Linked DNA regions of Drosophila melanogaster. The protein of the gene in region 1 purifies or fractionates together with the protein of each later gene. This does not show direct contact. Each region holds a gene or a part of one and is shown on either strand. Other genes may lie near its edges.

Region 1 (9,009 bases):
TATATTGCAAAATGTGTTACCAAAGGGCTAAGGAACAACTTTAAAATTGCTTTGCTGGAGAAAATCCTAAAACGGAGATATTTAGCATCTATTTTTAGCCCTCGTCTATAACGAGTTGAACATTTTTGGTTAATTATCAATGTAGTCCAAGCAGCATTGATCGTGCTAATTTGTACGCATATTAAATGAGAAGATCACGCTAGCTAGCTCAGCATGTGATGCCAAGACAGTACTTAGTTTATTGGCTCACCCTCGCACCAACACCTTGTGAGGCACACGCGCAACTGGCAACTGCCCCGAAATAGACGTTGCCACACCTGTGACAGGTGCGACAATATTTGTCGTCTGCTATAACTTAAAGCTGCAACTACAATTGTTTGTGGTATTTTTAGACGACTTTAAAGTCAATATTTGCGCAACAATTTTTCAGTTTGCTTCGACTTAAATAACATCTCGTCACGACATGTGATGCACCGGTTTACTATAGTTTATATTTTTTAACTTATTTACACAAATGCTAATTTGTAACATTGCTACTAGAAGTCATTTTTATATGAGCAGATGTTCATTTTTTTAAATATTATTGGGATACCAGGAGAATGAAAATTTTAAAACACAGCATGTGGCTGGGATTGTCTTTAAATTCGATGTTAAAGCAAGAAAAATTAATATTAATTTGTACAGGGCCTTCGCACATTTCCCCAAATTCATTGAAAAATCCAGCATTTTACGGAGTAACGTTGTTGTTTTTTTCTTAACAAATTACGGATACCATAGGCCTAGCAATCTCTATTTTGTGTGTGCAATTAATGGGAAAATTTTCTTAAATTTGTTTTATTAATATTTTATTAGGAAAGTGGAGGTACTTTAATATAGATGTGTAAGTTGCAGGTCTAGTTCCCACCTGCTCTTTGTTGAATAACGCCAATGCTCAAGTCATTATATATGTACTGATCGGAAATTGCTGTTTTTAACCTGTTTTCTATAGGATTCTTAGCTGATGTAATTTGTTCTGGATATTGCACTGGGTCAACTAGATGCAGTTACTTTGTTAATAATATGCATAGTTAATAGTGTTGAGTTCTTTCAGAGTACGTCATGAGTTCTAATGCACTGTCAACTTACTGTGATATTGGTAAACTTTGTGCCTGCTAGATAAGCTGACAAATATATTTCCGAACCTGATAAGGGGACTAAGTTTTGCCAAAACTCGTTACGATAACGTGGATGCGTTCAGGTGTACTTAAATCGATAGCGTGCCGTTCTTTGCGCACCTGTTGAGTTTTTAATATCACGAAATAGCTTGTTGCAAACGATAAGATTGTTTAACGTACAGACATAAAATAACCCTTAAAGCCGTCATTTCTATATGGTTTCCTTTAGTGCGCTTGCACCCAGATGACTAATATTTTAACCGCGACCACCTGAAATCCCAACTCTATATAAAAATACATTCTCTTTATAGTAAGTTTTGTGTATTTCCTGATTCTATGGCACGTACACTTATGAATGTATACATGGGTACAAATATATCAATGTATACAAAACAATGAGATTACAATTGAAGAGGAAACGTCTACAGTTACTTACATAAACTGAAATTTGTTAAATTCTTTATTTAATTTCGTAACTACGGATTTTTAATTACTACTGATTATCTCTGTTGTATGCAATTCGTAAAAGAAGAATTGATCTTATTATAGAGGTACATGTAAAAAAATATACATTTTCATATTCAGTCCTAAGGTAACTAAAGTTGATGGTGAAATTACAACATTTTGGCAAAGCTTCTTTTAAAAACTTGTAAATTGATATAAAAATCCTGTTTGAAACAAGAAACTGAAACTTTTTTAGGTAAATATATAGTTTACATTATTGTCATTTACATAGGTTTTAAGGATGCCGATTATTGTCTTTTTATACACTCGTACATAGATGGCGTTGACTTTTTGTACTGACTAAAATGTTTCTGTAGGTAGAGATTAAATTATGATCACATCGCTAGTATTTATTCATAACAATGTCAATATCAAATACAAATTGTATGCAGGCATACTTAAAAATTTTTTTTTTAAACTCATGAAGTCTGTATATCTAACAAAGCCTTGAAAACTTTTAAAGCTATTAGGCCACTTCTGGCAAAGAATCAAAGCATGTGGATAGGAATGCTGTATGCAGATTAATCTAAGCTTAAGCACAAATATTTAAAAAAATAGCAGAAATCAGTCGCATTTAAAGTCTAAAAAAGTAAGTTATCCACGAAACTGGACAGATTACTCGTCTTTCTTTCGTTTCACTTTTCCCTCCGTTTGGATGGTTGATGTTACAGCTTCTAAGCACGTGGCAATGGACGGTACGGATTGATCGGCGCTGTAATCCTCGCCAGCCATTCTACTTAAGGTTAGTATATAGGAACACGCTACCCGAAGAACGGAGAGTTTGGAAAGTTTTTGAGTGCTGGCATAGGCTGGAACAGCTTGGCGGAGCGTTTCGTAGGCGGCGGATATGGTGTGTACACGGGTCCGTTCACGTGCGTTCGCCTCAATGCGGCGCTCCCTAGTCATATTCTTGTAATTGCGTTGATGTTGATGAGGTCGCGAAATTGGTGCCAATCCCGTCTTGTTCAGATCCTCATCGCTAAGACTAGCTTCTAAAAAGGAAGATGACGTTGATTCTTTTTGCGTCCTTTCCTTCAACGTTTTTTTGGCGGATGGCTGTTTTCCAATTAGCAATGCGGAAAAGGCCTCTATTTTAGGCCCCGCTTGGTCGACACATTGCTTTTTGGTCGTTACTAATGCGAGTGGTTCCAGCTGTTCTGGGTGGGCAGCAAGCGATCTGTGAAGAGTCGTAACTCCCGGATGGCGAACATATATATGTGCCGGATTAGGCATTATTTCATGCTGCAGGCGCAACGTGGAAGGTATGCAACTGTTGGGCGGTGGAGAGTCTATGGCTGGTGGCGTTAGGACAACTGCCGAATCGGCGGAAGATGTGTATCGTATGCGTTTCTTTAGCGGACCAGTTGCATTCATACTCGCACTGGACGGAGGACCAGGCATGGATTTAGAGTTGGGAGTCGTCAAACCTACGACTTTGAAGGGTTCCGAACTCTTGCGTTTGTTGCGGACAAGGGCTATTGGCTTGGAGTCCGCCGAGTCTGTTCCTTTTGGTCTGATGTCGGGACTGCCACTGCGCGCGTGCTCGACGACCAAGTCGTCTCCGCCTTCGCTTTCCGAACTGGCGGAACAAAAACCCGCATCACGGTCGTTGGAATTGGGTGAATCTAAAAATACCAAAAAATTTAAGAGTTAGTTATCTTCTATCTGTGACGTATTACGCCGAACCGGTTACTAATGTTTGGCATTTCGTATTCGTAAATTTAAAAAAACCCCCGTTTTCGCGGAACAGGCCAGCAAGCCGAATAGGGCTGCGACTGCCTTTGTGTGACACCCCTTCGACTTTTCAAAATTCAATAAATCCCAAATCTTTAGTTACTATTTTTTATTACCATCTGATCGAAACTAATTGGATGACGTAGTTTTGACGTATTTTCTTATCTATAATATGTTCTTCCACCCTATGAAATCTATTTAATACATTCAAATCGGAGGTTACATGAGAAGAAAGTCCATTATATAAAGTGAAATTATGCATTGATCACGAAAACAAAACAGGTTTCTTAATTTACCACTGACCTCCACAAGTATTGAAGTGCCGAAACGCAGCTTACTTGTTAAAAGTAATTTATTTCAAGTCTGGCGAATAAAGCCAGTTCAAGTTCAGCATGAAGCAGCCACTGCATCAGAAGCCAACAACCCGGTTAGCAATTTAAAAAAAAATCACAATGCATATAAACGAGCATACATACATGGATCGAATTTGTTTGCGATTTCAACTTTGGTTGTGCCAGCAAAGTATAAAGGTATAGAATCTGCTAGGATATTTATAAGTATTCCGGTATTTAAGCAAAAAAAAACTTTGTCTTCAACAGCTAATTTTTTTTGTAATCAATTATTGTGTTATCAGCCTATCCATTATATATATGTATATGTTTGTCAGCAATCATACATACAATAATTACTTGTTATTAATTTTAAATTAATTACTTAAGCTAAGTTGGCTAAGAATGAGTAAATTTATTCCCTGTTTGTTTGAACCGGTGCGGACACACATTTACGGAAGGTAAGCTTTTTGCATGTTTATTCAACTATTTATAAGCACAATATTCTGCTATCTTTTCTAATTTTAGGCAGATAAACAACGAAACGAAATTCAAAGCAACTGACTGACATTGCGGCCACGAAATCAGGCTGTACAAATAACATCAGTTTTATAGCCCTAACTCTATCCCATGTCTTGCGTGGTTTATATACCGCATTTTAATTTATATTTAGACAAATGTTTACTTTTAAGCCACCGTCCTCGCAGGCGTCGTCTAGTTTAAAACACCTGTGCCAAACGGAAACATTTTTAAAGCTTGCCAAGTTTTTAAAAAATAAATTTCTACCAATTTATATTTAAGTTGTCCGTATCAGACACTTAAAGTTACATCTAACGACCAAAGGGCAATACCTGCACATTTTATTTTATTTTTAGTATACACGGAAGAAGGTATTATTCTCGATTGTTTATATTAAGAATATTTTAAGATGTTTTTTGTACGCCCAAATTAGTTTATTTTTTATGGATCTGATCCGTCTTTAGGTGCCAAGTACAAAATAGCAAGTTTTGCTCAGAAATTGACAACGGTTTTCCCGTTATTGGCCTTTTTTTCTAAGAATGAATGCCCTCCTGCGAAAATCAGCTAAAACCTACTTAAAAACGGCAGACATTAACTGTCAGAGGCATAAGAAAATCCCATATTCACGCCAAAAGTCAACGAAAGGTTATCATCATAGGCGGCTTTTGGCTGGCGGTCGGTCCACTGGGAAGCGTTCCCTGTGTGGGAAGCCTCGTCTTATCATAACAAGTGCATATACTCATACGTACATAAATGTAAATATGTTATAGCGACTATATGAAATATATTGTAGTAAAATGACGCATCACTTTTATGAATGAATCGTAAGAACACATCCAGATCATGCAGTACTTTGACACACTTGGTAAGGACATTTTTACGTTGGTTATAAAACGAACCCAATATCATTCGGCTTTCCTGTTACTACATTGCGTTATGTAGTAAAATAATATAAGTGGAATTTTTATAAACTCATAGTGATCAATTTAAATTAAAGACACCTTATTCTATCCAAACCAATGGCCATCTAGACTAATCATTTCGAAACGTTGCTGATTAAGACTAGCATTTTAAATAAATGATCACAGAAACAAAAAATAAAATCGATTTTATGAAATGCTGACGTAAACAGTACCAACAATATGGAAGGAGTTAACGTCTGTCCTCGAACATTATAACAATCAGCAGGCGGTGGTGAAAAGGGACACACAATGCAGAGTCCAACTGTCGCTCCAGCTTCACAAACAGACAAATTGCCAATATGTCTGGCGACATCGTCGTCCCAAATTCGCCATTGCGGGCAAAGTGCTTGGCCGACATATGCAACACAAGACGAAAGTTGGAGTACGCTGGCGACACATAGTTGGCTTTATTTACGTATCTGTCTGCATCTTAATTGCCATCCTCACAAGTCTGCTGCTAATATGATTCTGCTGCAACGTGTTAGTTGGTGGGGCTTTCTGGGTGCACACGGCAGCACCCCCTATTAACAATGTTGGTCGTCAATTATCTTCAGTGTCTATTGCATAGCCTTGGGCCATAGCCTCCTTGCCTTAATGATTGTATTCGTTCTTTTTGGGTTTCGATTACAAAAATGAATATACAGCTATTTGACAAATTATTGTCGACAAATATTTTGCGGGAAATGATTATAATCATCCGACTGCAAGACATAAAAAACCTATGTATGTAGGTGTGTATATTTATGTAAGTATTTGCAGGTGCCGCACAATTCGCAGGCAACAGGTGCAGTGTCCTTTGCTCGTGCAAAAGGTAAATACCCACCTTTCATAATAATTGCTGATAATTCCGATGCGCTTAGTTGCATGTAAAGTTTTTCTGTGTTGGTATTCGCCATAGCCGCGAAGGACATTCAAGAACTTTAAAAGTAGCGCGTATCCGAAAACGGTATTTGAATAGTTTTGTGGGCTTATATTTTATTTATTCACAATTACGGGCTTTATGTTAACATAAACCTATTGAAATGTCACGTATTGTTTAAAGGCACTTTTTTAATTTGTGGTTTGGTTAAGCCGTATGTGAGCTTTGGCACTATCTTCAACTTATTAGAACTTTTTATTTTCACGATTTCTCGTAAAATCTTCTGACCGGAGCACGACTGTTCACAACGAAAGTATCTGACGGATTGAAAATATCTTGCGGATTGAAATGGCCTGCGCCAGGGACCGGCTGGCTTCATGCTAAAAGCAGCACGCGGTCGAACTGCGTTTGGTTATCAGTGTTGACCATTCAGTTTTTTTAGAGTCCGTTGTCCTAATGTGTGTATGGCTTGAAAAAAATTGCGCCCTTAGCCAGAAAATATATTTCTTCCATAAGTAAATTATATGCTTAATAAGAAATAAAGTATTTATCTTTACAAGAAATATATAAATACTTTAAAGCAAAATTTTGAACAGCTAAGTTTGCTAGGCCTCTGAACTTATTGGCACCAGAAATATTAGGCAGAAAGACCTGCCAGCACTGTGGTACGAACCGCTGGATCGGTTCGCTGTCGAACATGTTTGACTACCACATTATTAGTTTTATGAATGAAAATATTCGCTCGCTTGAGATTTGCGACTAGAAAAAATTTGTATTCAACTTATTGATTGCAAGTATTACTTTTCTGCGGCCTTACTTATGTTTCAATGACAAAATGTCTTTTGACTTTTTGTAAACTTATCGGGATGAATATACATTCAATATTTTGGACAGAAAAAGATCTTAAATGCCATTGAATTAGGTAAGATTAATTAATTTCGGCTGCTCTCCATTTTGCAAAGTTTGACTTATAAGGCTGTTAAAGCCTCTATCATAATCAGGACTTTATTAAAACAGTTTATTCTTCTTGCAACATTGCTGCTGGACACAACGCATATACCAGCGTCAATTTCATTTGTGCATACGTGATAAAATATGTATTAGTATGTATTTCATCTGCGGATGGCACTGGCGAAGAAAGTAAAAGCAACGGTCTTAATAATGTCAACATTTAATTTTAGTATTGCACAAGCTGTTCGATTTTTAGGCATAGAATGGTCAGTTTCTTAGATAGTTTACAAATATTTTATTTGATACGTATGTATTTTTTTAAACAGAACTCGTCATAATTTTGTAAGTTGGATTATCATGGCTTCTTTTATATTTATGTATGTATATATGTATATGCTTGTATTTGGAAATTTATTTAAGTCAGGATGAATACCTCCTTACGTTTTGGATAAAAAAAAGATCAGTTCTAGGAAAAAGTTTAAATTTGCTGATCATTCTTTCGAACGCCGCACAACAAAAAACTTGCCGCTGGAATGAATGCAAGAGCCAGTTCCCTAATATCATTAGGGTTCTTTTCGTCTTTTTGTCTGATATCCTTAGCAGATGTACACTGGGCACGAGTTTGAGTCTGTCGCGCGAAATGCTTTTTGAATGATGACTTTCGTTTTTTTAGAGACTTGTTCTGCTTTTAAAGTATGCGATTGGGCTGCGGCCTAACCTGTTTTCTTCGATTGGACAGACCCCAGACTTCACAATCTCCAGTGTAGCAACCTGAGCAGTCCTCCGCTACCGCCGTTTAGGTCGCGATCAAGCCTTTGTCAAGCTGGAAGTTCAAGGATAAGAATGCTGGACTTCCAAAAATGGTTCGTGTACGTGTCGGCGAAATTTGATCTGTTCCTTTAAAAGTAAACCATTTTTTCCGTACGCCCCAGCTAGAATTACTTCGGAATCATTTGCAAAGATTTTTTTTAAAATTAGGTAAAGTTGCGGTTACTGATTTGGCTTCTGTATGAGGACGGGCTCTAAGTACATGAAGTCAGTTTGGCTTCTACATATGTAGATATGTGCTTTTCACCAAAGATCAAGTCAGAAGAAGTATTTTGCGGACAACATGGTGTTGACGAACATGCACAAATCGAGTTACACTGATTTGGCTTCTGAAAAAGAACTTACCGAAATAAAAATAGCAATATATATTTAATTAAAATGGATATCGATTCGATACCTGAAAACACATATGCATTTGTACATGCGCACATACACATATAGGTATTTCTACCTGTCATTCTCGGCATGGAGCTACAAGAGCAGGATAATGGAACGTCTCAATCACTAATTGCTTTTAGTCTGCGTGGACTAATATCTGGTCCTTGCCAATAGTTTGAACAAACGCCTGGGATATTGGAAATTTCTTGAAAAACTAGCGAAGTCAGGTAGTGGTGACTTCTGAGAATATTCATGCTCAATGCCTACCTTCTGCGGAACATAATGTAATATTTGTTGCGTATTTCAGCTTTTGAGAAGCTCATCGAAATCAAATAACCTTTTATCTATTAGCCATTTAGCATAATTAGAAGGCTTTGTTACTCGATCAAAATCATTATCAAAAATTAGTTGAAAGTGATATCGTCTCAATTCAAATTCCTTTCATATAGTAAACATAACGTTGCCGTAATAAGCACATGTCCCTCCATGTGACGTCACGTTCCTTCTTGTTACGTTTAGTAGTGGAACCAACCGGCCTTGGCACGTGGTTATGGAAATTGCGTAACTCACTTCTACCGATACACTCGTTACTCAATGACCCAAGTTAGTGAGCTTAATAATAATTCAACAAGGAGAACGCTATAGCCGATTTCCTTCCCTCTATCAGATATCTCAGAAACTAAGATAGGGAAAGTGCGAGGGGCACATATGTATGTATATTTTTCTAAATGGTCGGGGTGCAATTTTTTGCAGTTGACGTGAACAGACAGAAGGACATGGCCGGAAGGACA
Region 2 (4,901 bases), on another chromosome or scaffold:
GGTCTAAATTCTTCTATGATATATTTTTATATTATGTTACGTATATGGAAACTAATTTTAAGCACCGCATTAATTAATGTTATACATTTAACTCTTACACAACCCAGTAATTTTTCGCAGTTTGAAAGGATTCAGAAGCGAGTGGCAGGAGCAAAGCGAATTGGCGCCACCCCCAAAAATCCATGCGAAGCCCGTGAGCGCCCGTGCCACTCCCACCAGTGGTCATAAATCGAATTTTTGTTTATGTGGTGGTAAGGCTGCTGCGAAGCAGTCGTTCGGCCGCCAACCTCCCCACACTCCCCGCCCCCCCTTCATCATTGACCATGGGCCACCCATCCGCCCACAATCGCACCCCGCTGAGTCTGCAGCCAACATCCTGTCATTCCAACAGTCGCGAACGCCGACGCAACGTCGCTGCCAGCGCCAATGGTTTACGGTTTGTTGTGTTTCGGTGCCACCAGCAGCAGTAGCAGTAGCAGCAGCAGCAGCAGCGGCAGCTTCAGCAGCGCCATCAAGGGGTGGTGGGTGGTAATGGTTGGCGATGGGCGGACGGATGGATGCAGCTCCTTGTTTCCGTGCCCGTGCGGGTGGTGGTGGTTCTGTCGACTGCGACGTCGATGCCTCGGCCGGCGTCGCTGCTTTGGCGGCCAGGCGCCTGCGTCGCTCTCGAATATCCTTCGAGCGCTCTCCCCGGTTCTCTCGAGCGCTCTTCTTGCGCCTGCTCCGCTCTCAACTCGCTGCTCCCCCGCCGTCGCGCCCACGCTCCCCCGCACTCTTTTATCGCCACTACTATTCCCCCCAAAGAGGACACGCTCCGCCTGAACGTATGCAGCGATTTTTTCCGTGCTGGGTTGTTGTTATTCTTCTCGCTGGGGGTTGAAATTCCTTGTGTGCCTGTCCTCCTTCTTTGTCGTGGTGTGCGTGTGCCAACGCGTGTGTGTGTGTGCCAGTGGACAAACAAAGTGTGCGACTGTGACGTCACTTGCGTCATGAGCAGGGCTGCAGTGCAAGAATAACAAAGCCAGGGCTACACTTTGACCAAGCTATGAAGGAAGACCCCTGTTATCAACAATCGAATTTTATACAAAAGTTCTTATTAGGATTTTTAAGTACGAAATAATCACTATTTCTTCGATAGCAACAAAAAGAGATGTCCAAAAGGGGAATGTCATACCTCGTTGAATTCGTATTAAAATTCCCTATCGACCTGTATTCAAAGTTGGAAACTCTAATTTTTTGCCATTTTTCGCAAATTTAGATGATGATCGAAAATGCGAAAATTTGTTAAAAAATTTATTTTTGGGAATCATAAAAATAGTGTTAGGGATGGTTAGCTATACCTAATGGAAGTACAAAACAGTCTTTTAGCTGTGCCACCTTTTTTGGCCAAGTTATGGGGTGAAATCCCGTTGCATTATATCACATTTAGACGTCATATTTATTTTGTTCTTTTGTTAATAAACAATCAGTATTTCTTCGATGGGAATACAAATACTTGTGCAAAAGTGGAATATCATCATACATCGTTGAATTCGTAATTTTTTGTTGTAATTTATTGATGTACATTTTTCGCCAATTTCCCGTTTCACATTACAAATAGTTTATTTTTTCATTAGGCAAGAAGTTTACGGAGCTTGTAGACATTATAGAAATGTTAAAATATTATATTAATGATAATAATGTCAAATGATTGGTATTGGTGTCATTGGCCTTCTGCCGATCTGCGCCAGCTCGATTAATTGGTTAATCCAGTGACTCTTCAGCGTCCTCCTCTTCCTGCCAAGATGTCAAGCTGAACGGGTTGTAATGTACACGACGATATGTATATATGTCCATTGCCAACGAGCTAAATATGTCATATACATTCCTTCCACTCTTGGCGGAAACCTCTTCAAAGCAGATTGACTGACGATGGGCATAGTTGAACCCCTGCGCCATGCTCACCTGGCGATGGTTCGGATCATCACTTTTGTTGCCCACCAGCAGGACGGTTACCTTATCCGGACACAGGCGCCGTATCTCCTTCATCCAGCCATCGATGTTTTGGAAACTTTTGGACGACGTTATGTCGTAGACGAGCAGTATGCCATGGGCACTGCGACATTGGGTCGCCTTCAGCAATTTGAAGCGCTCGTCGTCGGAGGTGTCCCAGACTTGCAGCATCCTCCCCATCCTCCAATCGGCAAACTCCACGCTGCACTCCCTTCTATCCATGCCCACCGTGACCCGGTGTCTTTCGGTGAATTGGTTATCCGAGAAACGCATCAGCAGGCAGGTTTTGCCTACGCCGCTGTCACCCAGGATGATAATCTTAAACGGATTGTCGTATTGGCTCATCGTTAATTCGGTTTGGTTTAATATGTATAACGATTCGACTGAAGTGACAATTTTAGCTTGGCTTGTTCTGGGTTTTTGTTTTTTCTGGGACAGAATGTTTCAACACAATGTTTCAAAGTAGTCTACTTTTAAATAGGTCCATCAATTGCGATTGGAAAATTATTTTTTAATTGATATAGTAGTTACAAGTTATGGAGAAAACCCCGTATGTAAATATTCGTTTTCTGGAAATTGAATTTTTTGGTAAAAAATAATCAGTATTTTCTCAATAGCAATAAAAATATTTGTCCAAATGTGGAATGTCATACCTCATTGAATTCGTAACGAAATTCCCTATCGACCTGGATTCAAAGTTAGAAACTCAAATTTTTTGCCATTTTTCGCAAATTTAGATGATGATCGAAAATTCGAAAATTTGTTAAATTTTTTTTTTTTTGGAATCATAAAAATAGTGATAGGGATAGTTAGCTATGTTATTTGGCAGTACAAAACAGTCTTCATTTTAGCGGTGATATATTTTTTGGCCAAGTTATGAAGAAAGCCCCGCATGTAAATATCCGTTTTTTGGGAAATTTAATTTTTTGGTAAAAAATAATAAGTATTTTCTTAATAAGAATAAAAATAATCGCCCAAATGTGGAATGGGATACCTCGTTGAATTCGTAACGAAATTCCCTATCGACCAGTATTCAAAGTTGGAAATTCTAATTTTTTACAAATCGGAGTCGAAATTTGTGGTCTTTCTAGTAGATGCACTGCGGCTCTATGGACCCGGTTATATTGCAAACGGCGGCCAGCAGATTATGGTATTGTCGGTTATGCCATGATATGTTGTCTTCGCCCAGTTCCAGGATTCGACGAAAGGCTATTTCAAAGCCCGGAAGGTTCTGAAGATCGGTTCTCATAAACATTCGTAAAGCGTTTAGCTCTTCTTCCGTGGTGACCTCTTTCATAAGAACGGTAACTAGCTGTGCCAGTTCATCGGTATTGCTTCCATATCTAAAAGTGCAGAGGTGATATTATTGGACGGTTTAAGCTTTTACAAACTCGTACAATTTAATGATTGCCTTGATGTTGTCCACCAGGTATTTCTTGGCTATGTTGTAGCCCAAAGGATTCTGCGCCACGGCACTGAAGATCAGCAGGACATCATCCTTGGGCATATATCGACCGGCAAATGCCAGGTTGAGCAGCTTGTCCAGCGCCCAGTTTTCTCGACTGCAGGCCATGGCACTCAGAAGGATCCGTCGCTCTTCGCTCACATTTGACCGCGTGTAGAGTCTTCTCAGCAGCGTCCAATCAGCTTCCGTTCCAAACTGTATGGCTGTGCAATAGATGGTTTCGCTTAGATCCACCGGAATGCGATTGGTCTCCAGGGTGAGGCCAGCGAATTCCTTGAGTGCGAAGTCCGCACAGGATTCCAGATCAGTTCGGCAGGACAACTGCAGGACGATCACCATCAGTTCGGTAATGTTTGCATTTTCAGCTGCGGAGCCATCTCTCTTAAAGAGCTCATCAAACTTGGTCTGCAGTAGGTCTCTCATAAAGCCCTAAGACAAAGGATTAATGCTACATTAACAGTTGTTCCTGAGTTTAGTCTATCATGCTGAGCTTTCTAAAAACCAATTCTTTTAAAAGCTGAGCTTAAAAAAGCTGACCAAATCGTAATACCCTCGCTGTCGATGGGCTCCACCTACATCACAAATTTTAGTCACCCTGTATTCGCAAAGCTTTTTGGTGTCGAAAATGGCTTGCAATAAAGCTTCCATATCCTTTCACATACTATGAAGAACTTACCTTGAATGTAGAGATTATGGTGGTTTGCCGCAGGGTGCGATGGAGCCACTCCAGATACGTGTCCGCCGCCTGCCACACGATGAACTCGTCCTCGTTTCGCAGGTGTCCGAGAAAGTTCAGGGCCAGATCGTAGGTGACAACCCCGGCACCGGCCAGGTTGAGGACATCGCTGATCAGCTGCGCCCGTGTAAAGCGGTCAATGCTGCTGGCATTTGTGCCGGAAAGAGCATTTCCAATCAGCTGCCAGTTGCGCTCGTCATAGGTAATGCGACAGGGCGTGGCCAGTCGGAGATTGAAGACCACCCACTTGTCTGGTTGGGCCACCTCGTTAAGGATAAGCGGACTGGCGGTCTGTCTGCCCTGGCAGGTCAGCCATTCGCTGGGCAGCGTCGATACAAAGCTATCGATGCCGGCTGTTGCGAAGGTCAGTGGCACCCACCAGCATTGTTGGCGTTTCTGCATAAGCTTGCCTGGATTGCGCAGAAAGCGCTCTTGGGTTACGGTCACCTCGTTGGTATCATAGTTGCGCACCACACGAATGAGCGGATAACCCGGTTGCATTGTCCACGAGTCCATCAGCTGGCTCACTTTGATGTCCTGACGCAAGCTCATCTGGTTGTCCGATTCCTCCTGCAATGTGTGCCACAGGAATGCCTGATTGGAGGAGGATCCCTTGTGCGAGCGCTGCAGGTACAGGCGCAACGCGTTTAAAAAGGCCTGGAGTTTTATGGGTGCACGAAGATATAACTACCTAACACAATAATTATT

The links. The genes of interacting proteins can lie anywhere in the genome.
Region 2: the proteins of net (region 1) and Rab9Db purify together in Drosophila melanogaster (affinity purification with mass spectrometry, with the first as the bait; one large-scale study listed by BioGRID). This does not show direct contact.

What each region holds. Positions count from the first base shown.
Region 1 is NT_033779.5:80,995-90,003, forward strand, and holds net (net), read right to left. Parts: upstream 6,394-9,009; 5' UTR 6,099-6,393; coding exon 6,026-6,098; intron 3,284-6,025; coding exon 2,274-3,283; 3' UTR 1,427-2,273; downstream 1-1,426.
Region 2 is NC_004354.4:10,620,822-10,625,722, forward strand, and holds Rab9Db (Rab at 9Db), read right to left. Parts: upstream 2,405-4,901; 5' UTR 2,338-2,404; coding exon 1,744-2,337; 3' UTR 1,534-1,743; downstream 1-1,533. Other genes in the region: CG9806 (uncharacterized protein), read right to left, coding at 3,080-3,335, 3,390-3,886, 4,134-4,850.